Linked DNA regions of Mus musculus. The protein of the gene in region 1 binds, or shares a complex with, the protein of each later gene. Links are inferred from orthologs where the notes say so. Each region holds a gene or a part of one and is shown on either strand. Other genes may lie near its edges. The genes, in order: Grm5 and Homer1.

Region 1 (16,130 bases):
AGTTCCCAGCACTCATATTGTGCAGCTTACAGTCATTAGTGAATCATGTCCTAAGGGATCCTAAACCATCTCCTGCTCTTCATGGATTCTGAACCTATGTGCAAACATCCTCATACAGATGCACGCATAATGGTAATTCTAAAAACATAATTAAATAAAACATTAAAAATTTACCACAATAACACCATTCCCTTTGTTAGACTTGGCATAACCTCTGATGATAATATTGTGCTAAAGAGTATGTAGGGGTGCAAACTTACCTTTCACAAAAACAGTATTCATTACAAAAGGAGAGAGTGACATGATGACTACATGTAAATATACATGCATTGCTGCTGAAGTCTCAGACTATCCACATGTAAGCAATAGTGTTATCTTCCTACACCGTGCCTGAAATCACCCTGAGTGCATTCTACATATATATCCATACTGTGTAAAACAATATGTTCAGTGAGGATATTTGTTATAAAATCAGCAATAATACTAACATTTCAGAATCAACCTCTTTCTTTATGGGGAAAAGTGAGAAACTCAGTAATTCTGTAAAGAAATTGTATTCCACAATGAAAATGAAAACACTCTGCTTGTGCTGTTGAAGAATAACCAAAACAGGAAACATTGTGTTTGGTATTCAGTCTGTAGTTTGAAATTAAAGAACACAAGGCAATATATCGAAACAATATTTCAAAGTAAGAGGAATACTGCCCACCATGCATTAACCCTTTATACTTTTAAATTCTACCATGCACATCCATAAGGTATTCAAATTTAGAAAATGCAAAGTGTAATAAAGGCATCGTGATTAAAAACAGTCCAGTTCAGCCCTTAAAGTGTATACCATCTGTACTGGCTGGTTTTGTGTGCAAACTTGACACAGCTGGAGTTATCACAGAGAAAGGAGCTTCAGTTGAGGAAATGCCTCCATGAGATCCAACTGTAAGGCATTTTCTCAATTAGTGATCAAGGGGGAAAGGCCCCTTGTGTGTGGGACCATCTCTGGGCTGGTAGTCTTGATTCTAAAAAAAAAAAAAAAAAGGAAATGAGTGGGTAGGGAAGTGGGGGGGGAGGGTATGGGGGACTTTTGGGATAGCATTGGAAATGTCATTGAGGAAAATATGTAATAAAAAAAAAAGGAGAGCAGGCTGAGCAAGCCAGGGGAGGCAAGCCAGTAATGAAAACATCCCTCCATGGCCTCTACATCAGCTCCTGCTTTCTGACCCGCTTGAGTTCCAGTCCTGACTTCCTTTGTGATGATCAGTAGTATGAAAGTGTAAGCCGAATAAACCTTTTCCTCTCCAACCTGCTTCCTGGTCATGATGTTTGTGTAGGAATAGAAACCCTGACTAAGATACCATCCAACCACCCTTTTCCCTCTTTTAAAAGTTCTCTTGTAGGTTCATATGTATTGATTTTAGTGTGTGTGTGTGTGTGTGTGTGTGTGTGTGTGTGTGTGCATGAGTGTGCATATCCAAATGTATGTTTGTGCAACATATACACACATAGGTACCAAAAAGGCCAAAAGAGGGCATTAGATTGCCTGAATCAGGAGTTACAGGTAGTTGTGAGCTACTCATTGTTAGTGCTGGAAAACTAATCTATGTCTTTGGTAAGAGCACTGAGTGCTCTTAACCATTTAGCTATCTCTGCAGCTTCATGACTAATTTTTTTTGATTCATTAAATGTTATTAACGGTATTACATTTATACCTCTAAAATGTTTATATGGTTGGAGGTGTTGAAGAGAGCATTTTGCAAGTACAATACGAATACTATAGAATTATTATTTTTTTAATTTTACTGATAGTTTTAGTGTTATGAAAAGGTTTCTAATGATTCTTTTACTGTGGTATGGAATTTTAGGAACTTAATTCATCCTAGAATACATCTTTCCTATTGACAAAGGGATTTCATGTATTGTATGCATTCATTTCCTGCAGTTTTATATCAACAATCCACATAATATGTGCAAGTCAATATCTCGCTAGGCTTAACTCTTATTAACCCTGACATAACTGTTTCATAATGAAGACTCTTTAACTCTGACCTAATTGTTTACATAGAGAAAAAGAGTAGATTTCCTATTCTTTAAATATCCAGTATAACACTCAGGACAGATCATCAGCTACTGAATTGCTTTGTGTATGTTCCTTCCCCTAGAAGGTAACTTCTTTTCAAATACAGATAATTTGTTATCATTTTTTTCTGTTGGTAAAGATTCTAGTTGTATTTTCTCTTAGAGGCAAGGTTTAGAATTTTGTTATTTTCAATAGTCTCTGTAAATTTGACTCTTGGCTGAGAGAACCCCAATTATCCTAAGGAAGAAAGTAGATCTAGAAATAAAGTTGAAATTAAAAGGAAGAGATGAGTAGAATGAAGAGTTATTCATTTATTCTAAAAATATTTTTCTCATACTAAACCATTGCCAGGCACTGGGCTAAATATTATAAATACTTAAATAAGCGAGTCTGAATTGTTTCTGTTATCATATTCTAATATTTTTACTTTACTCTAAATCATTTTCAAATTTTCACAGAAACTGCCAGAGGTATCATCCATTAATGCTTCCATGTATTTTAAAACCTTGTCAATGACTATGTTGTATTAGTTTGAACATTGCTTTTTGATGATATCTCTTTGAAATTTGGTACGAACAATTAATTCAGGCTTGAGGCTCTGATACTATGAAATGTAGGCCCATGGGGCTGCCTAAGACAAAGTGATTTCTCAAAAGACCCGAAGGGATTTTTACTCTGGTCTTTCTTTGACATTCTACTCCTGTTTCCTACTTATAATTCTAGTATATAAACATGGTTTATTTCATAAGTTCTAAATTCATCTTAGAGTGTTAAGTTAGTCTCAAAGATATTGCCAACGTAATTTAAACACTCTCATGTAAGAATGCATGCCAGAATTTGGCTGGCTCCTGCCATCAGCTGTTACTGTTTTCTCCCCTATAGCTTAAAGAAGGTAAGTTTTATAGAACATAGTATCCATTGAGAAGACAGCTTAGGTATAGGGTTGCCAAGTTTAGTAAATTAAAACACACAGTACCCAGTTAGATGTGAATTTCAGGAAGACAACACTCTCTTTACAAAACAACAACAACAACAGCAGCAGCAACAACAACAACAACAAAAGGAAGCATATTCCATGAGTCTTTTGTAATACTGGCAACATTTATATAAAGAAAAATTATTAAAATTTAGCAAGGATCCCTTTTTTTCTGGAAATCTTTCTGTAACAAGTCCTAAAGCTATAAGAATCTGTAACTTTATCTTTTTTTCAAATTAAGTGTGTGTTTGTGTGTGTGTGTGTGTGTGTGTGTGTGTGTGCATGTGTGTACAGCTGTATCTCCCTTAATAACGTTTTACTTTGTGTTTTGACACAGAGTCTTTCACTGAACATGGAGCGCAATGGTTATGCTATCTGTACAGAGGATCCTCTCGTTGCTTCCCCAGTTCTAAGATTACAAATGTTTATTATAGGGCTTCACATTTTGTCACTTTAGGTTCTGGGGATCTGAACTCATATCTTCATGCTTGTGCAGCAAGAACTTTTCTGACTGAACCATGGCCATGAAATCATGTTTTTAATGAGGAAACAATTTTGTCACTAGCAATGACAAAATATAAACCCATTCATTCTATTATCAACTATTAGAGTTGAGCAAAATCTTATATATTTATATCAATATTTATGTATATATTAAGCTCAAGTCCTTTAAATTTTATTTCTTAGTAGGTCTTAATATCAGTTTTTTTCATGAATGCATCAAAGGAAAGGATATTGACTCATGTAGTTATTCAGTAAAGACTTATCATGTGTTTAATATGTGAACTTATTACATGTGTGTAATATGTGAGAGTTCTACCACATGTTTCCTAGTGATTGATGGTAATGTAGCAGAAAAACAGGCGTTTAGCGAGGAAAATTACCACCTTCTGATGGAAACAATATCCAGTCATCAGAACATGAAAACCTGTGATTACAGAAAATTGCATAACTTCAAAGCATATATGTCTAAGATGTATTTCAGGGTAAAAAGAATCACAGCACAAGCGAGAGAGACATTAAAAAATTATATGAAGATGATTCTCAGTGCCTCCTGTTATGCACATACTTAACTGGTTCCAAATGAAACTAGGTATTTCTAATATGTGATGCACAAAATGATCAAACAATAGAAGTAGGTTAAAGTTTGGAGGAGTAATGATAGATCTGAAAAAAATTAAGGGTTCAATATTTACACAAAAATTAAAAACATAAAATACATTAAGTTTTCTAGAGAACATTCATGATTATATTTCTTCTATTATTTGATGAAGGGGAGCTAAGCTTGGAAGGTTTTGAGTAAAAATTAGAATCAATTAAAGTTTATCAAGTTAATCCTGGCGTAGCACAGCTTCTGTTTCCAACACATTCTGTTTCTTACTAAGTCTTCTTTTGGTCCACGTATCTCAGACTCCATGGAACAACAACAACAAAAAATATAGAGTTACCTATTTCACCAAAGGAATCAAGACAAGGTTATTATACTCTTCTATATAATTACTTACCTATCTCCAGTTCTATTCAAATATTATAAATACTGAATTTGTACTAAAATTTTATCATTTCTCTTTTTCTACTCCTGTATTGCAAAATATGTATTTGTCATCAAATTTAAATGTATTGCAGTTGCAGGCAATATTCTTTGGCATGGTGTAGAAATGGGGGTAAGATTCTAATTCCAAGATTTTGAAAATAAGTGATGAGAAAAATTTCAGTTTTTATATTACTTAATAGACTCATGAAAACAGTCACTATGGAAACCAGACATGAGTCCATAAAACACCAAGAGATCAGAAGGGAGGTCTTGAGCTGAGAATTTGAGTCTTACATTTAAATATTGACATAGGTGTTAGTTTAGCCCTTGCATTCCTAAAATTAAATGATTAAATTTCTTTTTGATTACACAGCTAAGGTTAATAATTTTGACAAAATTCTATGCTGTGATGGTTTCCCATTTTTTTCCCTCTGTCTTTGCATCTGACACTGATTCTCTTTCCTTCTCCCTCCCTCCTTTATTTCTTTCCTCCTTTCCCTTGCCTCTTTTTCTCCTCCCTCCCCTTCCTTTCTCTCACCCCTTCTCCCACCTTTAATACATTTTATTTATACCCCATCTTTAAACTGTTTATCATTTTCTATGGGAAGAAATAAATTCTAGTGACATTTTTGGACAAATAAGAGAATTTTGAGGAAAATATCCTCAGGTTGTTTCATTCTGAGAATGTTCCTTAACAATAAGAAAATACTATAGTACATTGAGATCTAAGATGAGGACAATAAATGTAAAATAGATTACTTCTTAAATACTCCAACTAGTTAACTGAACAGTGTTTATAGTTCTCATTTATTTTGAAGACCTACTTATATTTACAAAACAAGAGTTATATAGAAAATAAGCAGTTAGGTATATATCTATAAGTTCAGTAAAAGCATTTGTTGTTTGACTTTCTGATTCTCAAATGATTGAAGAAGAGAATCTCATGTCTAGTATCTTAGCCACGCCAATGTCTACACTCGTTTCTTACCATTGCCATCACCAAATACTATGTGCCTGCTGCTTTGAGGAGCTGTACAATGTTTTCTTCTCTATTATTTTTAACAATAGCAGCACCTTCAACACATGTGCTATCAGAGAAACAAAACAAGAAATTTCTGTTACATATAAAAACACAATTCAAAAGGAATTATCTTTTGTTACTTTATGATCTCAATAAAATAACAGCATTTTTCAAATCTGTGTATTCATGAAGTGTTGTATTGGAATGATAGAGTCAAATTATGGAGGAAGATGAGGGGAAGATGTCAATTTACTGAGAATGAAAAACTTCTGGATTGTAAAGTGTACTCATATATAGTCTCCAAAATAGAGTTTTAGAAATTCTCTTTCACATTTTTTGTTTGTTTATAGACAATGGTTAGAATTTAAGGTTTCAAGAATTTGTCAAAGACCTACACTGAAGAACTCGAGATTCAGTTTTCAGAAGTCAGTCTAGTTGATTGTATTCAGGAGGATAGTCTAGTACATGCTTTGCACTCACGCGTGTGCGTGCGAGTACATGCATGTGTGTGTGTGTGTGTGTGTGTGTGTGTGTGTGTGTATGTGTAGAAGGGAGTGCAGAGAGTAACTGCATTGATATACACTCCTGCACCCGGGCTTTCAGAATCTATTGGCATAAGAGATGTTAAGACTGACCAAGAACCATGCAATGAGAAGTATCTCTCTGTATTTGTTGTGTGTCAAGAGTTTTGCTAGGACAGGGCTTTATTAGAGAAAACACAGACTAAACTTGCAGTGATCGCCATGTACTGAAATATTAATACTCCATCTCATTTACTCTGTATTTGGAATAAAATCAGAAATTTAGAAAGCCATGCACTGTTTTTCTTGTCAGATGAGCAATAAGTGACTGGACTTAGAAACACTTTGTGTTAAAATCCCATGCTATGCCTGGATTTTGCATTGAAATTCTTTGGTAAATGACTTATTATGAAAATCTCTCTAGTTCTGCTGTACAATCTTCTATGAAGATGCCAAATTATAAAACTAACAAGAATTAAGTCTGTATGTTGATTGAAAAGTCACTTGTTTATTATTCATTGTGACAATAACAATAGTTTTTAAAAATGTTTAGCACTATCATAGCTTCTTTGGCAACTGAGAAACGTGATACCACAGGCAGTTGTGTCTAAGCTGGGATAGAGACTATCACACAATTATTCCCCAGACTTTTTTCAAATATTTATGGGGTTTATTACCAGCATTCACAATTTGAACAATAAATGACACATAGAAGGCATCATTCTTTTTAGTATTAATTTAAATATTTAAAATAACAATTGACTGTCCACTATTTGCTAGAACTTTACTTGCAATGTGTTATGTAAAATATTTCCTTAAAATATTTCATTTTAATAAGAAAGATGGACAACAAAAAATGATCATAACTATTATTGAATTAGACTTTATTTTAGACTAAGTCAACAATGACAAAGGGGAAAATCGTTGAGTTAAGGACACTGAGGCACTGAGATTTTGAACACAGCCAACAAGATTAAACTCCAGGAAGTAAGATTTTTACTAACAATTGCAGGAGAGCAAAGTGTTACCCTAGTGACCACTTATAAACAACAGTCATTAGAAAAAAACAGGACAGTGCAAAGGGTGAGACAAAGCTACCGTTTTAAATATCAATGAGCAATTTAAGAACATCTAATGATGTTTCTCTTCTCTGAACATACTGCTATTGATAAGCCTAAAGTTCCATTTGCATGTCAACTTTTATAGAACAGGAAGTGAATAAAGCTCGCTAAGCCACATGTGAGACTTACGGGCAGCTTTGTCTTTCTGATGCTTTGGGATAGCATCTTCTTCATTAGCCTTGGTGAGAGGAGAGAATGAAATATGTGCAGGTATTTGGAAACATCTCATATCTATTAATATTATTTAGGTACTTTGCATGTAATCTACAAATTCTGTTTTAAGTTGGACTAAACATGGACAATATGGCCATATATGCCCTTTATGAGCCACTTCCTTTGAGGAAACAAAGATTCTCTAAGTTCTTCAGTCATTTTTTCACAAAAGGACCTAAATCAAAACTGGAATCAACCTAGTACAGAAAATTTCATGTTGGACAAACGGACATTTTAAACTCTAGAAAAAGAGAGGAGAATAAATTCACATATTGTACTTCAAGTATCTAAAAATGTCTTTAGACATGGAAAAATGAAAATGAATACCTTTAAGAAGATCTACTTTTTAACTTTTAAAATAACACAAGGTATTAGACATCATTAATCAGTTTTCAAACAAAGTGTGTTTTAGCAGATTCCCACCCTCTTCTTTTTTGCTTACTTCCCACTCCCTCTGATACTCTACCCCCTTTCTTCATTTTCATAGCAAATGTGCCCTTTGATCTCTTCTTCCTTTAGTACCCCTTTTCCCTTCTTTTGGTTTCCTTTCTAGTAATTTTGTGGGGGTGATGCTGATTGTATTTTAAAGATCAGTCCACATTTACAGATATTTTCACATGCACACATTACAAGCTAGGATCTGCACATGAGAAAGACCACACTGGCTTTGTCTTCCTGGGTTTAGACCACCTAACTTAATGCTATACACTTGAGGCTGATCATTTTTTTCCCTGTAAACTTCATAATTTCAGTTTTCTTTCCAGCTGAATAAAAGTTTTATATGTATATATAACATCGTTGCCCATTCATCTGTTGGTGGACCTGGAGTCTGGTTCTAATGTGTTGCTGTAAATGGGCTATAATACACACATATGGGCAAATGTCTTTTAATGCTTGACATAGTGTTTTAAATGGATACTTCCCTTCTTCCGTTCCTTACTATTATATCACCGAAGTAATCAAAGAAACACTACCTTGTTGTCAAGGACCCACTGACAAACATTAGTAGTTATTAATAACTGGTGTCCTTGACTTCAGTGTTGTGCATGTTTTAATCATTAATTCAGCTACTGAAAGTACCTGGCTCCTTTAATTTGCTCAGGCAATAATAATATTACCCAATTATTCTTTTGTTTAAATTAAGCCATGCAAGTAATTTATAGGGATCCCTTTTATTCTTTTTCTTTCAGATATAATGTGAAGGTAACCTTAGCATTTTTGATGTCCATAGACAGTACTAGGGGTATCAAAGAAAAGGATGCCAAGCAATTGGAAGAAGTAAAACATTTAAGTCCCACAGGGAAAGACTTTTAATGGATGTAGGAAGAAACATTTTTAAGAAGTGCAGACAAATGCAAAATGACATTATTAATGACTCAAGACCATTAAATACATTGGTCTTTCTAATCACTCGGGCTTCTGAACCGTACTTGCAGTTCTCTGAATCTCATTCTCTCTCTCTCTCTCTCTCTCTCTCTCTCTCTCTCTCTCTCTCTCTCTGTGTGTGTGTGTGTGTGTGTGTGTAAGTACAGTCTGTGTCACTCTCTCTCTCTTCTCTCTGTGTCTCTCAGTCTTGTGTTTGTCTCTCTGTTTCTTCCTACTCCTCTCTCTGTCTTCCAGCAATAATACCCCTTCTCCCAATAACTGTCAGGAGTTTCGTACTATCTTCAGAGAGAAGCTGATTATCTACCTGCTCTCCAGCTTCTCTCTGAGTGACATGCCACCCACGCCTCCCAGCACAGCTCCTGCTTCTCCATCTCTGGGTGGGAATGAGGTAGTGAGGAAGTCCAAGACTGCCCTGGCCTGAACCCTGAGACCAAGAGGCTCTAGGAGCAGTGTTCACTCACTGATCCAAGGCTAGCCAGCCGCCCCCAATTGCACTCTGCAAGAGTAGGAGCCAACCCAGCGTTGCGCTTCCAGCTGCGTCTGCCCGGGCGCAGCACGTGCTCCAGGCGCTGGCGCGAGAGAGCGAGCGCCACCACCGCGGGCCCGCAGCCGTTCTGCTGGCTGCCACTACAGCTTAGATCGCAGCCACTAGCGCTTCTGCAGCAGCCAAGGCCGCTACGAAAGCGCAGGGAGCTTGAAAGGAGCGGCTGTCCAGAGGAGCAAGGCTCAGGGAGCGCACCTGGTAAGCATAGCGCTGTTTTTCTTTCTCTCAGCTGTGGAGTTACCAGGGATGTAGGATGCCGCCGGAGCCCCTCCCCCAGTGCAGGGATGGAGAGTGAGCGAGCAAGGGGCGGGTGCTTGGACTAAAGGGACCCAGAAGGGCAGGTGGTGGGCAGGTGGACGACAGGTGAAGCCAGGGATACTAGAAGGTCCTGCAAGTTTAAGAAAGTCACCCCGCAAGGACATGTGCTCTATAAATTAGACATGAATTTAGAGTCAGGAGCCTGGGCTAATGTGGTATGGCTAAATGGGAGGTTTTTGAATATCTTTTTGTTTTCATTCACCTAACTGAAGGATTTCAGTGGGGTTGTTTCCACAGAAAATAGCTAAAATAATCAGTGGCAGAAAAAAATAAATAAAACCAATAAAGCCCCCCCCCCTTCTGTCTCATGCTGGTACATGTGCAATGATAAAGCATGCACTTAGCGAGGGAGGAGAATTTTAGATCTCTGAGGATATTAGATGTTTGGGCTGTAGTAAGCACACTTGCTGATGCTGCACCCCAAAAATGAGACAGGGAAGAAGATTATGGATGGTTTTAAATACTGTATTACAATTCTAAAATGACATTTGAATGACTATAACACCAGGACCAAGAGATTCTCTGGAATCATTAACCCATTTATGAGATGTATCAGCACGTCTGGACCCTTAAAGCTAAGATTATATATTTCTAGCAGTGAAAGGAAGATTTTTTTTAACCTTAAATTTTCTGACAGAACTTTCATAAAGGATGATAATGAAGAACATGGAGATCAAGAGGAAAGAGAGGGGAGTTGAACAGACTCCATGAGCTATGTGTGGTAGTATAGCAAGGAGAGTTGGGTCTGTCAGATTTGGTACCAATGTTCATTCAGTCACACCCTGAGAAGCCCTTAGGCCATTGTCTAGGAAAATATGTGACCTTGAACAAGACTACCAAGCATTGTACACTTATTCTCTCCATCAGGAAAGTGGAAAGCATACTGCATTTTAGGACACTGAAGTCTCACAAAATAGTGTGTGTTTGTATAAGCTTGAAGAATTGTACAGGGAAAGAGGGAAGGGAGATATCCGGAAATACAGGCAAATAGATTGTAAAGATGTTCTCTCTCCAAGTATTTTAACAGCTGTAACGTTCACAGTGCCATTGGATAATGCATGCTGGTTCTATGAAAGGTCTATGGGAAAGGTTGAGTCCAGCCAAACATTCAGGCCCATGCAAAGATTATGGAGTTTTGACAGTTGTTTGGAAAATTTCAAATGCACAAAACTTAAAGTTACATTTTGCTTATTTGCTTGTTTGTTTATTTTATTGTCTAGCGAAGTAGCATTTGAAAAACATATTTTGGTGATAGGTTGTGAAGTTTTGGGGTTTGTTTGTTTGCTTTTATTTAACTTAAGCTTTGAGAAGTTACCTGGGCTTGATTATGGTAAAGAAAATCACATCCTAGTTTCAAGGTTTGTCACTGTGTGGCAAATGAGGATTTTGGAATGAGACAGGAATGTTCTGTAATATGAGTAGAAGGCTTAGGGAGGGAAGAGAAAAGCGATATTTCTCTTAGAGCATGCATGTCTATAGCCCAGTGGGCAGCAGGCAGCTGGCACATACCATGTTGATTCCTCTTCTACTTGACTGGAGAAGTCATCTCTAGCCCTTTTCTGTCAATGCATATTCATTTATAGAATTTGGAGATTTGCATTGCAGATGCTGAGATGGTATGCATTCATAAACTCATCTCCCTGGGTGTCTTCAGCTCCCCCCATCCTGAATGTCTGGCCATGAAACTAGTGTACCCATCCTGATCTGCCCAGGAGTCTGTGTTCCTAAAGGAACTCACTGTGCCACTTGGTGGCACCAAAAAGTTGCGCAGAGAAGTCTCTTCTCTATAAATACTAACTACCACCCCTCCCTCCTCCGCTCTCTCCCCTTCTCCCCTTCCCCCTGTCTCCATAGAGGGGAAGATTGCTGTACATGCCGCCCTCAGCTCCGCTGTTCTGAGCACTCCGAGCACAGGGGATGAGCTTGGGATCATCTTGGGGTTGGGGAAAAGCCCAAGAAAGGAAAAGCTGGCTCAACCCCATTGATTTCTGCTGCCCAACTTTACTCCGGGGGGCTAGCTAAACAGCATCTCACTGCCTGCTGCGTGGCCAACAGGGGGTAAGCTTGCTATGTCTGTGTGCCCAGGTATCTATCCCCAGACCTGTCAAGGATTTAGAAGCTTTAAGCATGCTGATAAGCTCACAGTGTGGTTTGGAGGAGGGGACTTAGATGAATCCGGGGTGGCCAGAGCAGAAGAGGTTCACATCTGCTTCTTTTACAGAAGACCATTATTAATTAAACCTGTTGGTGGAAAAGGCGCGAGCAAGAGGGTAAAGCAGGGGGAGGTATGCAAGGTCTAAGATAGGGATTATGCACGCCTTTGGATCCCCGTGTCTGAGCTCTGAGGAAAGGAGAACATGGTTTAGAATGCAGACTGGCTTACCCAGTCCTTTGGAGAACTCAAAACTGAGAAAGCAAAGGTAGAGAAGGGAAGGAAGGAGAATCACTTCTGGGTAATAGATTGGTTTCTCCTCTGCCTGGGGCGGGGTGGGGTGGGGGTACAGCGTTTGGTGCTGAAAGCACAGCTTGGGATTTATTGTTTCTATCTCAATGTCCTTTGAACGCCCCCAACCCCTAGCGCAACTTCGTGCGCTTTCTTTTTCCTTGGATATAGCTTTCCCTTCCTTCCAGACACAAAGCTACCCAGGGGCAGCAGATCAGAGCGCAGAAGAGGGATCCCAGGCTACAGGGACTTGGAGACAAGGAACCAGGAAAGTTCTACCAAGCAAACTCTAGTTGATGTTTACAGTAGCCTAATCTATTTTGGGACATTTCAGCAGGAAGTAATGGTTGACCTGGGTGATTACCCACCTAGTTGTAGGATGTATGGCTGTTCGTATTTCTCTTTAGAGTGCATGGTGTGGGAAAAGTGACTTTGAGAAAGTGATAACAGATTCTTGTTTTTATTTAGTCAGAATCCTGGAACTGTTTCACCTGAATTAGCTTGGGTATCCAAACAAGTAGGTAGTGCTATGCATCAATTTATTTCTTCATAAGAAATTGGTATTCACAAATGGAAAGGTGGACTCACCTTTCTTTCTTCCTTTCAATATCCAACTTTATATTTTATTGTTTAAATTGCTTAAGAAGTGAACTAGTGATCTCCTGTATTTCTAGTTCTGGTAGCAAATTGGTGCCTATAACAACAGTCTAGTGAGAATGCTTAGCACTAAGGGCACCCCTTCATCCAGCAAAGATTTATTCTGAGTTATTTGACACCTTATTATGAGTTTCAGAGGATATAGGTGTGCTATTTTTTTCTTGTTGTGAGTGCTTTGTGCTCTTCTCTTATGGAGTGGAGGGAATTTCCTCCATTAATTTCTCTGTTAATTCTGTGTAATACATATTAAATTGTCAGTTAGTAATCTTTTTGTCATTTGTGGAACTTTCCATTTTGAAGGATTGTTGGTTTAGAAATAGAAAACTTTGCTTGCCAAACTCACTAGGTTAATGACTTGCATTCTACCAAGTCTGCATCCTTCTCCTGGAAACTTCTTCAGCACCTTGGACAGGTACTCATACTATTCCCTAGGCTTCACTGGACACTTACTGAGCAACAAACCACCACTTAGATAAAAGACTTTTCCTCGTCCTTTACACTTTATGATTAAATGTAAAATTCATGTATTTCAACTGCATCTTCTAGAGCTCCATGATGTTCCATAGCAGTGTTTTACCTGTGGGTTTTATGCCCAAAAAGGACAGAGGAAATCCAAAGAACAAAAAAGAAAAAAGAAAATGAAAATTTAATGTCTATTTATTATAGGCACTCTGAGGTTATTTGGATAAGAATGATATTTGAACACCCCATGTACTTGCTTAAATCTTAACCTGTTATCAAATGTATACACAGACCTTTACCATTGTACACATCATAGCCATTCAGACTGATATCCAGGGAACACTGAAAAATTCAGTAATAGATATTTATCCACGTAAAGAATATCTATGATTTGAGAATACTTGGGTAAGGAGACACCATTTTCTTTCTTTTTTCTGAACTGTTATTTTGTCATGTTTCCTACTAAATTAATTGGCTTCACTAAAAATGTTTACATTTGTGAGTAAATAACTTTCATGATTCTTATTTTATTCAAAATGCATTGAGAATTTTTCAAGGAATGTTGCTATATTGACTTTTTGAAGAATGTTGGGACTATTTATGCATTTAGAAATGGTAAATTAAAACTGAGGATGGCGATGTATAACTTAAATCTCAGCACTTGAAAGGTTGAGGCAGGAAACACAAAAGTTCACAGTAATCCTTAGTTATGTAGGAAGTTAAATGAGGCCCTGTAACAAAAAGATGAAGAAAAATTAAATGATAGAAGAAGATGAACACTAATCAGAAAAAATGAGATTGAATAAATTGTAAATATGTACATAATTGTATTACTTGAGTAAAATATGTATGCATGTTTTATTCAAGGTTTGCTACATTCATGGAATGAAGAGGCATATTTCTTTATACATTTTTGCTATTGGATATATGGACACATATATGGACTTAGACATTTGTGTATGTACCATTTTCTTCACACTATTTAAATACATCCAGCTGAATCTAACTTTGTGAAAAAATGATGATTCTTTTGATATATGTTTTTGAGAACATGACAGTGTATTACATAGAAGTGTCCTTGATTTGGAATTATTTGTTTGGAAATATTAATTCTGATGCTAAGGCATCTCTTTATGTCCTTTCTTGTTGTGTACGTAGAAGACACACAAGAAGGGAACATCCAAAGAAGTGGTTTTATTTCATACTCAAATGACCTAAGAATGTAACATTTTGACTTTGATTTTTCAACTGTTTACAAATCAGAAAATGCTTTCTTGATATTTTCTCATTTCATTTGAATGAAAGGGTTTAAATACAAAAACATGCCAAGATTTGTCTCCATGGCTCCAGTATTAATGCAGAGGAGACATAAGTGTATACTTTAATGCTAATAATATTGTTTGAAATGCACTCACACAGAGAAACAAACACAAATGCATCTATGTTTGGCGATAGGGCTTCCAATAAAAGTTTTGTAGTAGGTCAATGCTTGCCAGGGCAAGTATTATTTATTGAGCATGTTAGGGATTGTATCAAGTACTAGATGTATTACATTGCTAATCATCAAATGAGTCACATGATATACTGGTTTTAATTTTTTTTGTTGTAAAAAGTGAAGTTTTTCTTTCATTGTTATAACATGAAAATGGTACCAAGAAACAACCCCCAGAACACATACATATGCTGTGTGTTATAAAATTGTCAGTATGAATAGAACATACCCTGTTTCTATAGCATCAGTCTATAATGCAGATATTTGTGGAGGCTCTTTTATGATTGTTCTCAGTCTGTTGTGGTTTGCAGTGTATTTTATTAGTGAATATTTGGCACCAGATTGCATGAATGTGGATCTCACCTTTAGTTGAGTATGTGAATTTGTAAACAGAATTAAATCATGTATATGATTTATATATATTTCATTATATATTATTATATAAACAAATACCCAACTTTTCTTGTTTGTAGTGGATGAGGAAAGTTAGAATGATATTAATACAACCAAGTGAGTATGGGAAATTAATTGCTCCAATTGGAGTAACTTCCCTGACCTGTTAGTGATGAATACATAAAAGTAATTTATGGCAATTTGTTGTCTGCACGACATTGGATATAAAATGCTGCCTGAGTTATTAACTTTCTCAATAGTCACATGAATTTCTCTCTCTCTCTCTCTCTCTCTCTCTCTCTCTCTCTCTCTCTCTCTCTCTCTCTCTCTGTCTCTCTCTCTCTGTCTCTCTCTCTCTCTGTCTCTCTCTGTCTCTCTCTGTCTCTCTCTCTCTCTCTCTCTCTCTCTCTTGCTCTTTCTAATTTTTTTATTGTTAACAGCTGTTATACGGTGAAGTGGACTACATAACTTGTCTAAAGTCTCACTGTTCCTACCACCCCAAAGCACAAGTGTAAACCCAGGGATATTTGGCTCCCAAATTCTAGCTTTTGGCACGAATATTATCTTGTAACTTGAACATATAGAGTAAGCTGTATTTTTTCTCTTTTTAAATTTCTTTCTTTTATTAAATATTTTCTTCATTTACATTTCAAATGCTATCCGGAAAGTTCCCTATACCCTCCCTCCACCCTGCTTCCCAACCCACCCACTCTGGCTTCCTGGCCCTGGCATTTCCCTCTACTGTGGCATATGATCTTCGTAAGACCAAGGGCCTGTCCTCCCATTGATGGCCGACTAGGCCATCCTCTCCTACATATGCAACTAGAGACATAAGCTCTAGGGAGTACTGGCTAGTTCACATTAATTTTTTTTTTAATTCTACTAATTTTGAGTCAGCACCATCTCCTTCCACAAGGGAGTGTCCAAATTTTTTTTTCTAAAACATTTTAGAATATTCAAAATTAGATATGCAAA
Region 2 (16,130 bases), on another chromosome or scaffold:
GACAACTTTGGCATCACGGAAGGGATCATGACCATGGTCCATGCCATCACTGCTACCCAGAAGACTGTGGATGGCCCCTCTGGAAAGCTCTGGTGTGATGGCCATGGGGCTGCCCAGAACATCATCCCTGCATCCACCTGTGCTGCCAAGGCTGTGGGCAAGATCATCCCAGAGCTGAACGGGAAGCTCACTGGCATGGCCTTCCATGTTCCTACCCCCAATGTGTCGGTCATGGATCTGACGTGCCGCCTGGAGAAACCTGCCAAGTAAGATGACATCAAGAAGGTGGTGAAGCAGGCATCTGAGAGCCCACTGAAGGGCATCTTGGGCTACACTGAGGACCAGGTTGTCTCCTGCGACTTCAACAGCAACTCCCACTCTTCCACCTTTGATGCCGGGGCTGGCATTGCTCTCAATAACAACTTTGTGACGCTCATTTCCTGGTATGACAATGAGTACGGTTACAGCAACAGGGTGGTGGACCTCATGGCCTACATGGCCTCCAAGGAGTAAGAAACCCTGGACCACCCACCCCAGCAAGGACACTGAGAGCAAGAGAGAGGCCCTTGGTTGCTGAGGAGTTCCTATCCCAACTTGGCCCCCAACACTGAGCATCTCCCTTACAATTTCCACCCAGACTCCCATAACAGGAGGGGCCTAGGGAGCTCTCCCTACTCTCTTGAATACCATCAATAAAGTTCGCTGCACCTGCCCCCAAAATAAAACAATACAAAAAAAAATCTTTGCACATGTTGCTTTGAATACTGAAGAAAATATGTTTGTAAATTTCATGTAGTAGACCTGCTGTGTCAAACTTTACCTATATTTAAATTTATATTCTTCCTACTGGTTGGACAAGCTGGTCTTCCCAGGTGCTGAATTAGGAAATAACTGATTTCTTAGGACTGGCAAATGGAATGTAACTTGGACTGTCTTCTATCTATTCCTCCAGGTTCACTCTGCACTCTTCTTTACTCTAAGATGACAACTACAGGCTCTCCCTGTAGCTTCCTGTCTGCCAGCTTTAAGAGAGAACACTAGCAGAGGGAGGATTGGGTAAGAACTGACCACATATTGGATCTCTATATGATATCTGTATCCTTTTAGCAAAGGACACAGCTGCCCAGGCAGCCTTCTCTGGGTCTAGGTTCCAGCCATTGTTCTTTTCCTGACCTTTCAGCATAGAAAGGGTGGTCTATCTTGCTGGGCCAGGTCCTGCTCTCTCTCCTTTTTCCCATCTATCCCACCTTTGTAAAGGGTACTATCCTTATTAAATGCCCCTCAAAGTACCCAATTTAAATGTTCTGGTTGCTGAGTCCTCAGCCTCCCTAATTTTTCTGAGCTATGTATGACCACTCTTTTAAATCCATGGTCTAGTTACTCCAGATTATGTTGTTTCTCTAACTGAACGAGGAACCTGATACAATTAATTTCTGCTTAAGGACAGCAGAAAATGATAGTTCATTCAACATGGAACAACTTGCTGATCACTCACTATATGATAGACATTGCCTTGCAGTGGTCTCTGAAAAGGTTCCTAAGAGGTAGATGTGTGTATTGTGTGTGCTATATGTGTTGCGTGTGTTTCTGGATGTCCATGCCCATATATGTGAACATGGAGGACAGAGACTGACATGAAGTACCTTCTCTTATCTCTCCCCATGTTTAAAAAAATATTAAATTTATGCATATGGGTATTCTTTCTGGATGTATATTCATGTGTGTACCCAGTGCTTGCAGAGGTCAGAAGAGGGTTGGATCCCCTGGAACTAGTTATAAATGGTTGAAAGCTGCCATGTGGGCACTGGAAATTGAACCTGAGTCCTCTGGAAGAGCAGTTAGTGCTCTTAACTACTGAGCCTCTAGCACCAACCTTATTTGTTTGAGGCGGTGCCAATCATTTAACCTGTTGGATAGAGTATCTGGCCAGTGAGTCTCTGACCCCTTCGTCTCCACTTCCCAGTCTAGGATTATTGGGGCACACTGCATGCTGGGTATCCACACTCAGGCCCCCATGCTTTGCAGTCAGCTCTTTACTGCGGAGACATCTCCCAGCCCTGTCTCTCATCTTCTGAGGAGTGAGTGTCTCTTCATTTCATTTGCCCATGTATTGACTGGACCACTTGTTTCTTTGTCTATTTTTCAATAGGTCTTTACACATTCCAGATATTAAGTTCCTATGAGACAGACAACGGGCAAAGATCTTCTCCTAGGCTGCCTCTTCACCCTGTTTCCCTGCCGTGCAGGTTTTCAAGCTCATGCAATTCCATTTATCAATTATTTGCTATTATTTCCTGAGCTGTTAAAGCTCTCTTTGGCAAGCCCCTGGCTGTGCCTGCATCCTGAAGTGACTTCCTCTGGCTGCTGCAGCTTCAGGCTTTACATTATGGCCTTTAACACTTTTTGAATTTATTTTTATACAAGGAATGTAGCTTCGTTGTTCTACAAGTGGATATCCAGTTTTCCCAGAACCATTTGCTAAGGAGGCTGTCTTTTCTCTAACCAATGTGTGTTTTTGGCAATTCTGTCTAAAACGAGTCTAAAACTGTGTAGATTTACTCTGGGGCCCCCTATTTTATTCCATTGGTCCATGTGTTGTTTTTGATCCAATACTGTGTTTCTTTTATGAGTATGGTTCTGCAGTATAACATAAAATTCAGTATTTTGATACCTCCAACGTTGACTTTTTCCCCCAGAATTGCTTTGGTTATTTGGTGTCTTTTGAGCTTCCTTATGAAATGTGGGGTTGCCTTTTAGTTCCATGAAGAATGTCTTTGCCTTTTTTTTGGTGGTGGTGGGGTTGCATTAGATGTTCAGAACAGCTACTTTCACAATGTTAATTCTGCAACTCTGCAAGCGAAGGGGTCTTTTCAGTGTCATTTACCTGTTTTGTTTTGTTTTTTTTTTTCTTCAATGTTTTAAAGGTTTCACTGTGAGATTGGAGAGATGACTGTGGGTAAGAGTGCTTGCTGTGATTGCAGTGAGTCCAGGACAGATTTCCAGGATCCATGTAAGAGCTGGGATGCTAGTCATGCCTGTATGCCCAGTGCTGGGAGGCAGAGATAGTCAGATAATGAGCCAAAATGATGAGCTTCAGGTTCAGTGAGATTGACCGTCCTCCCCAAACACACACTCAGGTTCTGTATGATAGCTTTCCTGCACACACAAACACACATGTACACTCTGGTTCAATGAGCTAGCCTCCTCACCCATACAAAAATGTACACTCAGGTTCAGTGAGATAGCCTCCCCACCCACACAAAAATGCACACTTAGGTTCAGTGAGATAGCCTCCCTGCACGCACACACACACACACACACACACACACACACACACACACACACACATGCACACTCAGGTTGGTTCAGTCTCTGCTCTCACACACAAATGTACACTCCCAACCTACACTTGTGTGCATATGCCACACATTTAATACACAAACACATAAAAATATAAAAACGATGACAGGGTTTTGGTATCATTAGTTTGGTTTAGTCCTAGTTATTTTTATCAATATGTGGTTTGCTTGTTCAAAAGGCACTGACCCCTCTGCTGAGCTGCAAGATACTTAAGTTTGTTCAGCCCCAACACACTGACACAGGGATGGACTACTGCTTATCTAAGCTAGTCATGAAAATCCTATCCCCAGTCACCAGTGTACAGGGATGGCTATGCAATCTAGTCTTGACTATGAAGACATGAAAGAGCACTGGGGTGGGGAGGCAGCGCAGAAGATTGTTTTCCCTAAAGAGTAGGAGAAAAGGAGGAACGCGTGTCACCTCCTCCTCTTTTTCTTTCTTTAGGTGCTCTTTGTCTGAATAGGAAGTCCAGAAATATAATGATCAGACAAATATGAGATAGCAAATCAGATTTAAAGACAGCAAGGTGAAGGGGTAGAAGGGACGCTGGTAACACCTTGGACCTTTAGAATCAACTGCAGGACGACCCACCCCTAAACCTCCCGCTACGCAAACAAGTAAAGACAAACACAGTATGCATCTAGCTCTCACCATTATTTGGACTTTCTGTTCCTTGCCATTGAAAACAAACTAACCCACACAGTGGGAAGTGGTATTAAAGGTAGCTGAGGAAAAGAGGGGCCGTAATCATGTGGGGGCAATCATCTTAGGGTAAGATAGGAAATCTGGGTTTCCTTCAATGTGACGTCAGCAGATACTTGATCAATATAGGAAAATACTTTTTTTATCAAACGTAAAATATGATAAAAATATAGTTCATTATTAAAATAATAGATGTTGTGAGGGTCAAGTTAGATGTAAACATGATGAGGTTAAAGGACACACAGATAACTAGTAAATCCTTGTGGGTAGGAATGTCTAAGGCATATATAAAGAGACTCACATTTAAACCAGTGGTCTTACTAATAATGTATCTACTCTCACCAGGCACCATCAAATCTGTGGACAGTCTTGTTTGTTTGTTTGTTTGTTTGTTTGTTTTTCGAGACAGGGTTTCTCTGTGTAGCCCTGGCTGTCCTGGAACTCACTTTGTAGACCAGGCTGGCCTCAATCTCAGAAATCCGCCTGCCTCTGCCTCCCGAGTGCTGGGATTAAAGGCATGCGCCACCACGCCCAGCTCTGTGGACAGTCTTGATTAGAACAAAAAGACAACAGGCAATGTTTTTTTTTTTTTTCCCACTGGAATCTAGACAATCATCCCCTGCCCTGAGACATCAGAATCACAGGTTTTCAGGGTTCTAAATCTGGCCTAAGAAAGACACTATTGGCTTCTCTGGTTCTTGGGTCTTTTAGGCTAAAGATGAATCATTATGCCAGCTCCTTGGTTCTCCAATGTGCAGATTGGGACTTTTTGCTTTCCATAAACTGTGAGCACCAAATCTTACAATAAATCTGTCATCTGTCTCTCATCTGTCTGTCTGTCTGTGTGTATATGTCATAGTGGTCTGCTTCTGTAGAGAACACTAATTCTAATGTAACCTTTAGAGCCATTATGATCTGAACCAGATTAAAATACATAAAAGCCTCATAAATAACTCATGAAACGTTACAGCTAAAACCTTCCAATGCTGAGGCTTTTTTCCGACCGCTTATACTGGAGAGAAATTTAACAGACTTTAGGTATTGTTTCTGTCAGCTCCAGGCATGTCCGAGACGTTACCAATTATGCGCAGCTTCAGCCTCATTTCTCTGGAAAGAAGGCAATTTCCTTTTACAAGCTTGCCTGTCCTGAATGCCTTGGGTGCTGTTTTTATACTTGCTGGCACCAAGAGTCACAAAATGAGGTAGCTCATCTAAAATATTTTCCTCATGGTTGTTCTGTTTCCCCATTCAGGAAAAAGATTATTGGTTACTATGGCAATCAGCTTCCGCAGCATTCCATTCTAAGGAACCACACAGGTGCAGCTTTACCCCCATTCTTTCCTGTAGTTCTCTGAGGACTGCCTGCTTTCCCAGCCCGTTCTCTGTGACTGCTGCTTGAAATGCCAACAAAACAAAGTTAAGCCAGATAATTTTTGAAAGGTACTATATCCCCCGAACGTTAAAAAATACAAATAGACTGCACATTGATTTCCTGATTGGAGGATTATTATTATTACTATTATTATCATCCCTCTAGTCTATTCAGGCCCTCGACAGGACCTGACTGGAAACCTTCCGGAGTTTTCCTTTAGAAGCCTAGGACTGTATTTTACTTTTCTAACAATACTTGGAATATCAGCAATGAGATTACAATAAAAACCAAAGCAGGAGAGTGCCATGACGTCATTTCTCATGTTCTATAGCCGTTTTCCTGTGGATAACTCTTCAATATCTCTTCCTCTACAACTCACAAACGATTCTGTTTAAGAGGAAAAAAAGTATCATGTATGGATGTTCTCAGATGAGGAAATCTGTCTGGAAGACTTAGACTTGAGAAGCCAAACACCTACATTCCCACTCTTGAGATTGTGTTTTTCCTTTTTAATTGAAATTCATTTGAAAAGACTTTTCTGCCACCTCATTTCTGCTGAGATGAAGACTGTAATAATAATGAAAGATGCCTTTATCCAAGCCAACTCAAGTAAATGATGGCCTGTGTGTGCTAAACCTTAGAGCATGTGCAATGAGATTTTTAGCACCCACTAGAAATTGTTTTCTACGGTTTCATTCTTTTCTTATTACTTTTAGTCTTCGCTGGTTATTTAGTTTCTTATACATTTTTTTTTGTCATAAGCTTGTGGGATTTCTATTGCAGGGGAGCTATCTATCCAGTATTTCTGCTTATGACTTTATTTGAAGTGACAGTGGCATTATCTAATGTAAGTCAATTAAAAATAAAACCTGGCTTTAACTCTCTTTTCTGCATTTTTTTTCTAGCTCATGAATGACTTTTCATTGAAAAAGACCCATTTCATGACACATCTATGAACATCCATTGGAGACTACCATCTCCTGCTAAGGGCATGGAAATAAACCCAAAACTGAAACAGATGTCTTCGCCCACAGATTCTAAAATCAGAGGGTATTCATAAACCGCCCCATAAATTTGAGAGCATACTGGAAAAGAGGAACTGTTAAAAACTGAAATGCTGCTGAAGTTCTTTCTTCCTCTTCCGGTGAGAGAAATCCACTCCTTTCTAGGAAGTTCAGTACTTTAAAACAACAGAAGGAAATTAGAGTTGGAATTTATGGTATGACAGCTCATTTTAGCAGAAAAGATATCTATTGATGGATAAAAAGCCATATAATGGTTCTCCGACTCCTGTCGGAAGTGTACTAGAAATGTTTCAAAGTAGGGTAATAGGAAGGGCATTTATTTTCCCTAGGACATCTCTCATATTATGTTTCTAGGTTTTACTTAAACCTTTGGCAACACAGCTACTTCCTGATATGTGAATCCCACACAAATGGGGAAAGAATAAAACTTGGCCAATTGTTGCTAGAATAAGATGCTGAAATGACCACTTAGGCTTTGAGTAATTACATCACAGTGAACAGTCAGATGTATGTACAAAAAGTTGCTCTTTCAGCTGGCAAGAGGCAGCTGAGAAGACACCACACCCTGTGACAAACAGAAACCGAGCAAAGGACTTTAAAGAAACTCTAAAGGCACCGAAGCAGCTCACAGACTGTCTTGGCAGGTGGGTAAAAATCAGTTTGATAAAGAACACAAATGGGAGGAGGCTACAATCATAGGCTTGAATGTGTTTGAAAATGGTCACATAAGTGTTAGTTAACACAGTAAGAAAGACCCAGAAATAGAGAATAAGGGTAGGTGAGTAGTTTTTTAAAGTTTTTCTTTTTTTCATTTTAGAGAGTAATAACACATTGCATTTGTACTTTGCAAGGATCATAAGATGACATTATTTGAAAAATAACAGTGTCATTGTTTTTGTATTTTATATTTAAGTAAAAATTTGTCTGAAATATAACTTAGTATCAGTTCTATCAGTACAATGGTATATTAGCCGATTTGGAAAGCAGATATTTGCTTTTCATTAATCTTCCATTACAACACTAAAACAAAACCAGACCCTGAGTTACCACTCAGGTGTGAAGACCAGAGTTTAGATCCCTACCATCCACATAAGCCCTGAGTGGGGTTGGCTGTCCACCTGTAGCTCCTGCACTGGGAAGGCAGAGACTGGATGTGAGCCCTGAGTGGGGTGGCCATCCACCTCTATCTCCTGTACTAGGAAGCCAGAGACTGGATGCCCAGAGTAAGCTGGTCAGTTGGATTAGCCCTCCTGATAAGATGAGTTTGGTTGAGAGAGAGAGAGAGAGAGAGACCCTCCCTCCATCCATCAATAAGGTGGACAGCAATCAAGGAAGACTCCTCACGTTAAACCTGATTTCCATTCTATCGTGTACACATGTTCCAGCACATGCACACACACATGCATACACACATGTGGGAAAAAAAAGGAAAAAAAAAACTCCTCTCAGTCTTTTTAATATTTCAAATTTAAAGCAAGATCATAACTTTATAATGTTCAGGTAAATGATCAGGCAGTCTGATTAGTTATAAATTAGCCCTAACACTTTGCCAAACTCAAGCAAGAAAATGTCAATGGAAAAAAAAAGCAAAATTGTTGTTCCTTAATTAAAAAAATCATGTGTTAACATTAAAAACATGTATTAAAAACCACATATAGCAGGCAAGCAAGGGACATTCTTGTAACTGCATTGCTTAGGAGGGATTAGGGAAGAGAGCCCAGGTGTTCAAGATCTTAATCAAACAAGGCAAAACAAAACCCACCACTCCTGGCATGATCTATAGAATTTTAGCTGACTTTCTTTTGAACTGCATTGGCATTGATGTACTATTCTTCTAAGGACAATTTAATGATTTTGTAATAATATCATGTCCTGGATTTCTCGGGTCACTTCAGGTTTTGAATGAAGTGAGTTTCATGTTTCATGTCAAATGAGTTTAGTTTGTAAAATGTGGTCACTGACTCTTTGGAGTAACTGAAGTACTAATGGCCTTTAGCAGGGTGCAGCACTTCTATTTCTGAACCACAATTGTCAAGTTAAATGGAATAAAAGCAAAACTCATTCTGTGAGTCTAACCAATAAAAGGCCCTTAACAACACAGGGCCATTTTAAAACTTCATGACTTTAAAAACACAATTTCACATATGCAGCTATAAATTTATAGACGGCTAGTCATCCTTGCCACATTAAAAAAAATGAAAATATACTCGAGAGCTATTGTGCTTACAAGATTCAAAATAATCAGGAACCCAAACGTATGTTTGTGTTAATAAAGTAGGACTTTGTTTCCAGACTGTAATTCATATCCTTGGTAAGTCAGACCTAAGGTGATTCGTTGGCACTTGCGATGCTGTAGAAGGGTAATTATCTGAGGGAACTAAGTTTACTTTAATGAATTTGACTCATTATGCCTTGCAGAACCATGGCTATGCAGCGAACTGCAACATTTAGAACATTTGGAAATCTCATTCTGCTTTAATTACTATCCTTTGTAACAAGAGGTTTGCTCCTAACTCTACTCTTTTTTTTTTTTTTTTTTTTTTTTTTTAAGTTAAAACGCACGCCTTTAGGAGGGGAGAAAGCTTAAAAGTTGACTATGTTCAGAATGGTATTTAGGATTCCTAAAATTAACGGTGGTTTTCCCCGAGTCTACCAGCAGTGATCACTCTCCCTCCCACGATTCCCTGCAGGTTGGGATGTGAACAGCCCGGGGATGCTGCTGCAAACCCAGTGGGAGAGGGAGACAGGACTTTACCGGCGACACTTCGGCACTGTTGCTATGAGTGATTCATTCGCATATGGCACATTTGTGCCAAGGAAACCTCCTCCCGCCGCTTCCTTCTCCGAGCTCTCCTCAGACTGTCTCCGGCGCCTTGGCCTTTAAGGAGAAGCGAGAGAACCGGGAGCAGGTGGGCCCGGAGCAGCTCGCTCAGCCCGCCTCCCCCAGCTCTTTCCCTAATTTAGCAGTACTTCCGGCCGCGTGACATCATCCCCCGCACAAGCTGACGTGAGCGGAGGGTGACGTATGTGCGGAGAGGAGCGCGCTGACGTTGCTATTTAAAGGTCCTTCTGCGGGGAGGATGGAGACACAGCGCGAGCACCCGGCGTGCGGAGCGGACGAGGCCGTGGCGGCCCAGAGCCAGCGCAGGAGCCGAGCGCACTGCCCGTCCGCCGCCGGCCGCTAGGGGAGGGGAAGGAAAAAGGGACGGACCGACGGACCGGCCAGCTCATCCCCTCCGGTGTTGTTCCTCAGCGCCCCGGTCCGAGCCCGGGCCCCGCCTCCGCCGCGCCCCACCTCCTCCGCCGGCCTGCGGCGGCGGCAGCGCTCCGCCCCTCGAGCCGGGAGGGCCGCGCTCTCCGCCCCGCCCCGCCCCGCCCCGCCCCCTCTCCTGCTCCGCTGCCGTGCTCGTCTCACGCCGGCGGCGCGGACCGGGAAGCGGCGCCCTCGGCTGCGCTCGGTTCGGAGCCCGCTCCGTGGAGTCAGAGGCAGCGACGGGCGCCAGGCCGCCCGGGCCGACGGAGTCAGCCGCTGAGGGGAGTGTAAGGAGGCAGCGGCAGCCCCGGGAATGTGAGGCGGCGCGGAGCGGGAGAGACGAGCCGGGGTGGGGGCACGAGCCGCGGCTGCCGTGCCTCGGACGAGCCGCCAGCCTCTCGCCTCAGCGCGCGGCCGCCGGGAGCTTGGGGGCTGGGTGCAGGGGACCGCGCGGGGTTGGGTTCTCTGATTCATTCATTCTCCGCCGTCGGGAGCCCGAGGCCGCGGGTGCTGCGAGGAGAGGCGGGAAGAGGGGGCGGCCGCGAGCGGGGCTCCATTGTGCTCGGCGGGGGCCGGGAAGCCAAAGGAGGTGGGCTCGGGCCCCTGCGCTGCTCCCCGGCGGCTGCGCCCCCAGCTAGCTGCCAGCCTGGAAATGGCTCCGCTGCTGCTCCTCGGGAAAACGAATCGATCCTTCCCAGCCTTCTCTGCCTGCTCTCCACCTCCTCTCTGCTCCGAGTCTTAGGAGGACGAACATTCAAAGGACAGATTCCAATGTGGTGTGCCGTGCACATCGGGAGCGGCTGGGGTTTGCACTTCGAGATTTCTTCTATATAATTTTTTTTTTTAAACGTAAGGGAGGCAGTAGCATTGCTGCCTGTAGGATTTTTATTCAAGTGCACGTCGCGTTGGGTTGCACGCTCCACCCCCAGGGACCTGGTGTGGTGAAATTTGAACCCACCGCCTTAGCCCAAAAAGGCCGAGTAACCTGGCTGCCTGAGTGTCGTGGAAGACGTGAGCGAAATGACCAGCGAACTCATTTTTTATCAGACTTGCTGAAGCTGGCTTTTGCGTTTTTTCTACACGTACGCTTAATTTTGTGGAATAGTTAAGTGCTATATTCTCCGCGCAACCTTTTCAAATTCCAAATGTTTGAACATTTTGGTGTCAGCGCGAGTGAAATCATTTTACCGACAAGAACTAACTGAATTGTCTGCCTTGTTGAGTTGCCTCCGGAAAAGATCTCGGGGGTGGAAAAGCAACTGCAAAATAACAGACGGAGAAAATTCCTTGGAAGTTATTTCTGTAGCATAAGAGCAGAAACTTCAGAGCAAGTTTTCATTGGGCAAAATGGGGTAAGGATTTTGTGCTTATCACAGCTTTAAATCTGCTTATGCTTGTGTGGAGTTGAACGGTGGTGGTGACCATATTTTTAAATCCGATCCCTTGCAAAACGGGTACTACTTTAAATTAGAGATTTTATTTGCATTATTGTAGAGCGACACCAGAGGTCCTAATTAGAATGTGTAATGTTTGTAACTCAGTTATAGTTTTATTAATTATATATATATAAAGACAGTGCACTAGTCTACCCTGTACCTCTTAATTGATCAAACTGCTATATAGGTTACTAAAATTTTGCCATCTTAGGTTTGGTTGACGGTGTTGTTCAAAGAGAAGAGCTGCATTCTTCCAGTACTTTGTAGAAATAATCAGCTGTTACAAAGAGAGAATTGTAATGAGTAGTTAGACTCCAGTCCTTGAAACTGACCCTTTGTAAGTTGGTGCCCTGGCAGTGCCCTCTGTTTTATCCTTGAACATCCGAAACCAAATGTACAGCTTGGTTTATTGGGCATTAAACGAAAATCGCAGTGTTTCGATGTCCACGGTGTGGGTGCTGGAGAGACAAAGCTGTTGGTTGAAGGGACTTGTTCACTTTTTCTGTTTGCCTCAGACCTTTAGCTGGTGCCAGCGGTGTCAGATTTACATCTTCAGCATAGCCAAAAGCCGGTCTAGAGTGCATTTCCAAACTTTTCATTCTAAAGACTACAGCTTAATAAAATGCTAGGAGTTCTTTAGTTAAGCTGGGAACATGTGTTATGGAGTGGTGATCTATTCATTTCTTTAGTGGATTGTCAGTGCTTTCTCTGCGGTCCAACTAACACCGATAAATAAGTAGTTGAGGAACAAGGTTGGCAATGATGGATTTTGAAATTTCATTGTGATAGCTTAGGAACACACATTTTATAAAGTTCTTGAATAGTTGCTTTTTGTCCTGACAATTAAAATTTGAAGTCTGTTAGCTTATACAACTTTGAAAATGTAGACACGTGTCATAGCAGTTCTTCCTCAGGAATTAATTATGAGTAGATAATTATTTTAATACTTAAATAATAAGTGCTAAGAATGTAATTAAAATACCTTATTCTATTTCTGGTTCTGCTATTAGTAGCATAGTGACCCTCAGCAAATTACTTAACCTTTACGGGCAGTGCCCTCGTCGGTAAAAAAAGGAGCATAAGAGTTTTCCAACCTGTAAAAATGATTTTTTTTCTCTCTCCCCTCATTTAATGGTCAGCAGTTGATTTTTTTTCTTCTAATCTGTATAAGTACTTAAGCTAGGAAATGAAGGTGTTAGAAAATGTTCTGGTCAGTTGCACCAATTTTTAAATGAGAAAATACTAAAAAATTAATATTGGTAACACTTGAAGTATGCCTTCCCTTGGTTATATGCAGCCTCACAGTTTAAAATGTGGTTTTTTAAAGCCACGTTGGAGTGTCACGTGCACTCTCACCTACACACAAAATCAAGTGGCAGTTTTTCACCAAGAATGCTTCATTCTTCAGACTGGAGTAGCATCATCAAAGAAGAGAATCCGTTTTCTGCATCTCTTACATTACATGAATACTCATTGTTGTACCAAGTGAAGAGTGAGATTAATACTAAAGGAGACTACTATTTGAAATATGAAATTAAGCTATCTACATGAAATACATTTAGATACTCAGCATAATGTGTTTATAAACAAATCACTTGCCTTTTTGTTAAAATTATATTTTTAGGGCTCAGGTGTAAAGAGCACTTATTCAAGAGGATTTAGGGTTGATTCCCAGCACCCAGGGATCGATACCCTCTTCTGATCGCTGCTGGCACCAAGCTTGCAAGTGGTGCACATACATACATGAAGGCAAAACACCAGTACACATAGATTAAAATTTAAAGGATGAATAAAATAAAAAATTAAAAATGACATGTAAAATAAGGCTGTAATAGAATTCTGCCTGGTGAGTGATGTAATTTGAATTTGCCCCTCCAAAACTCAGTGCCAAAACTTCATGGCCAATAGCTGAGTATTAAGAGATCTAGAAAGAAGGGCTGAAGAGACAGCTCAGCAGTTAAGGGCACTTGCTCTTATTTTCCTCAGGTCTGTACTTGGGAACGTGACACCTTCTTATTGAGGGTGGCTTGGTTTACCTGCATTGTTGAAAGAGGAAGGGTAGGTGGAGAAAGAAGAACATACCATACAGCAAAGGCATTTACAGACATCTCCACCCTTTGTAAGTGCATAAGCACACAGCCATCTGGGCCTCTTTGAAGCATAAGTTAATATTATGTGACCTTTAAAGTTTCCCAGGCAGTCCTTAAATTACCTTACTTGGCTAAATATCCAAAATTTCACGTGGATAAGGAAATTTATATATTACAGATGGACTATAATAGAATTTACATTTACCTTAATTAAAGTTATAATTAGGGAGTAAAGAAATTATTTTTCAAACCAAAATAAATGATTAGGTAGAAAAAATGACTCCTGTAATACTAGTTTATGAACTCTCTGGAAAAGGAAAAGAACAGCTGAAACCAACAGTTGGCAGAGTCTGTCAAAGTTGCACCAGCAGTTTTAACTGGAGTGAGGTCAACTGAAGTCTGGGTGTGTAAAAAGTGTACCAGGCCCCTTACAAATAAAGATAATTGCATATGTAATATGAAACCTCCAGAAGCTTCAGCGTCTCCCGAGACGTGCCTGTTAGGTAATATATCCTAATGCGGCCGTGAGTCTGGCGCTCTGTCGGGCACTTGAGAGGGCAACATATACCAAGTCACTTCAACCAGTTATTTTGTGCTACTTTGTTTTTACTTAGCTTAATAATGCCTGTTTCTATTAAGAGGTAGTTATGTTTAAAATGGAAGTTTTCCCTACAAAAGGATGTTGAGATTTTTGTTTGTTTTTCTGCTATCTATCTGTCTTTGCAAACTTTGAGCCCTTCCTCTTGCCTTAAAGCATGGAACTGGGTGCTGCTACGTTATTACCTGGAGTCTCATTTTGCTTATGGCAGGGGTGGTAGCAAAAATGTGGAAATGTTGATCCACCATCACAATAGGCGTGCACTTTGTAAAGGCAGCCCAACAACGTAAGTACAAGTCCTTAGTTCTTTCTTAATTTTACCAAACTTTCAGCACCAGTTATGTGTCATAGACTCAGCTGAGTGTTATTGAACAGTCAGTAAAATGCGCTTCTTCCCTAATGGAGTTTATAGCTTAGAACTGGGGATCATGGTTAAAGTAAGGTGTGAAATGTTGAAAGCAGTAAAAGTGGGCATTTGTGAGGCCCACGGTATATTTGTATGAGGGGATATTTGCTGCTATTTGAAGGATAAAAAGACTTTGGAGTAGGTGATATTAAATACTAAAAGGTGAGTACAAGTAGGCCTTGTGGACAAATTAGAGGGCATTTAGGTAGAATAGTGATTGACAGCACCACTCCATAAAAGCTTTGCTTGTGTGGGCTCCTTTTATATAGAAGAGCGAGTCCCCAGAACTTTGTCCAGGGCCAGGCTAGAGCTTTGTAGGCCAGTAAAAGACTGGGTTATACTATAGACTGGTGTTTAAACTTAAAGAGACATGACCTAGCCTTGTATGGCATGCTCTATAAACCTAGTCCTTGGAAAAATGAGGCAGGAGAAGACCAGCCTAGGCTATAGAAAGAGCTTGTTTTTTGTTTTGTTTTATTGTTTGTTTGTTTTTAAAACCAGATAATAAAAATATGATCCATTGGCAGCATACATTTTTATGCTGTGACCTAGTATTCATATTTAAATATAAAATGACATAAAATATTATTCTTACTTTATGTGATTGCAGTCTGATAGTTTCTACTTAATTATATTCCATTTCATTTTCAAGAAGAAATGGTAGTGAAGACCCATTAATTGGTATTAACAAACCTGTGGCTCCAACTGGCAATTTAGAAAAACATTGTTCTTGGAGGTATGGGAGGAATCAATCAATATGAGACGATAAGCAATCAAAGCACTAACAAGAAGGATCAGAGAAGTAGTGAGAAAAGGCTAAGCTAATTCAGATTTGTATGTTGTGTCCTGTAGAAACAACAAGCTAAAACAGTGACTCTGACTGGGCAATGGAAATGGAAGTGACAGGCCCTGGGACATCTCAGTGTACAGAGGGAGAGACAGAGAAATAAATGTGTAGCTGGACTTTAGAACTAGAAGTTCCCAAGTACAGAGTTAGAAATGTTGGGAACTGCATGGTGTGCTCAGATAAGAGGCCTCATCACTTAGGAGAGCCGTGAAACACTGAGGTGGAGAGGTGGCAGAGAAACTGTCCTTACACTTAGTTGCTGACAGTCAGGATAAAAAGCATTCACATTTCAAAAGATCAAATCTCTGTTCTGCATTGAGCTTTCTTTCAGTCTTAGATATTGCTAACTGAATAGAAGGCCAGGAAAGTGAATCCCAAATATTTACTATTATCTGGTACCCTCCATTCCTATTTTAAGGCTTAAATCACGGTTTTAAGTAGCTCTAGTACGTTTAGTTAGGACCTGTCTAGTTAAATGTAATGTGCAGGTTTTTGTCTGTGTTGCTTGTGTTTAATACACTCAGTGGAGACGATGCATTTTGCAAAATGCATTACGTTTGTAAAAGAAGTAAGATTTTCCTGGAGATCAGAAACTTTTATTTTTTTTTAACTGATTAATTTTGAAGAATTATAAGAATTCAAATTAACTACAGAAAATTTTGTGTGTAACAAGGAACTTTTAGGTAGCTTTAAGTCCATGTATGAGAACTGGGAAAAAAAAAATCAGATTTTTTTTTTTTACTTGAGACGTAGGGTCTTGCTAAGTAATTCAGATTGGCCTCCAGCTTTGCTCTTACTGCTTAAGTTCCCAGAATAGGTGTGTACCACCACACTCCATAGAACTTTAACCCTTTCTGAATAGGAGTATACTTAAAATTTCAGCAACAAAACCCCATTCACTGTGTATAAATAAAATTGTGTGTCTAGACTCTTTCTTTTAGGTCCAAAAAAAAAAAAAACCATCTTAAAAATAACAACACATTCTTTATCTGGACACCTTCCTTCTTTCCTCCTTCTTTCCCACTCTCTTCCCCTTCTCCA

What was found.
Region 2: the proteins of Grm5 (region 1) and Homer1 are in contact, whole or in part, in a crystal structure (PDB 1DDV), measured with the Rattus norvegicus proteins. The link is inferred for Mus musculus from reciprocal best matches to the Homo sapiens genes GRM5 and HOMER1. Residues at the interface, in XP_006229721.1 of Rattus norvegicus: Thr1155, Pro1156, Pro1157, Phe1160; in NP_113895.1 of Rattus norvegicus: His12, Phe14, Trp24, Thr70, Ser71, Gln72, Lys73, Phe74, Gly89, Phe90.

The regions. Positions count from the first base shown.
Region 1 is NC_000073.6:87,574,953-87,591,082, forward strand, and holds the start of Grm5 (metabotropic glutamate receptor 5 isoform b precursor), read left to right. Parts: upstream 1-9,215; 5' UTR 9,216-9,588; intron 9,589-11,562; exon of another isoform or gene 11,563-11,766; intron 11,767-16,130. UniProt on the Homo sapiens protein: G-protein coupled receptor for glutamate. Ligand binding causes a conformation change that triggers signaling via guanine nucleotide-binding proteins (G proteins) and modulates the activity of down-stream effectors.
Region 2 is NC_000079.6:93,294,239-93,310,368, forward strand, and holds the start of Homer1 (homer protein homolog 1), read left to right. Parts: upstream 1-9,518; 5' UTR 9,519-11,059; coding exon 11,060-11,064; intron 11,065-13,795; exon of another isoform or gene 13,796-14,069; coding exon of another isoform or gene 14,070-14,122; intron 14,123-16,130. UniProt on the Homo sapiens protein: Postsynaptic density scaffolding protein. Binds and cross-links cytoplasmic regions of GRM1, GRM5, ITPR1, DNM3, RYR1, RYR2, SHANK1 and SHANK3.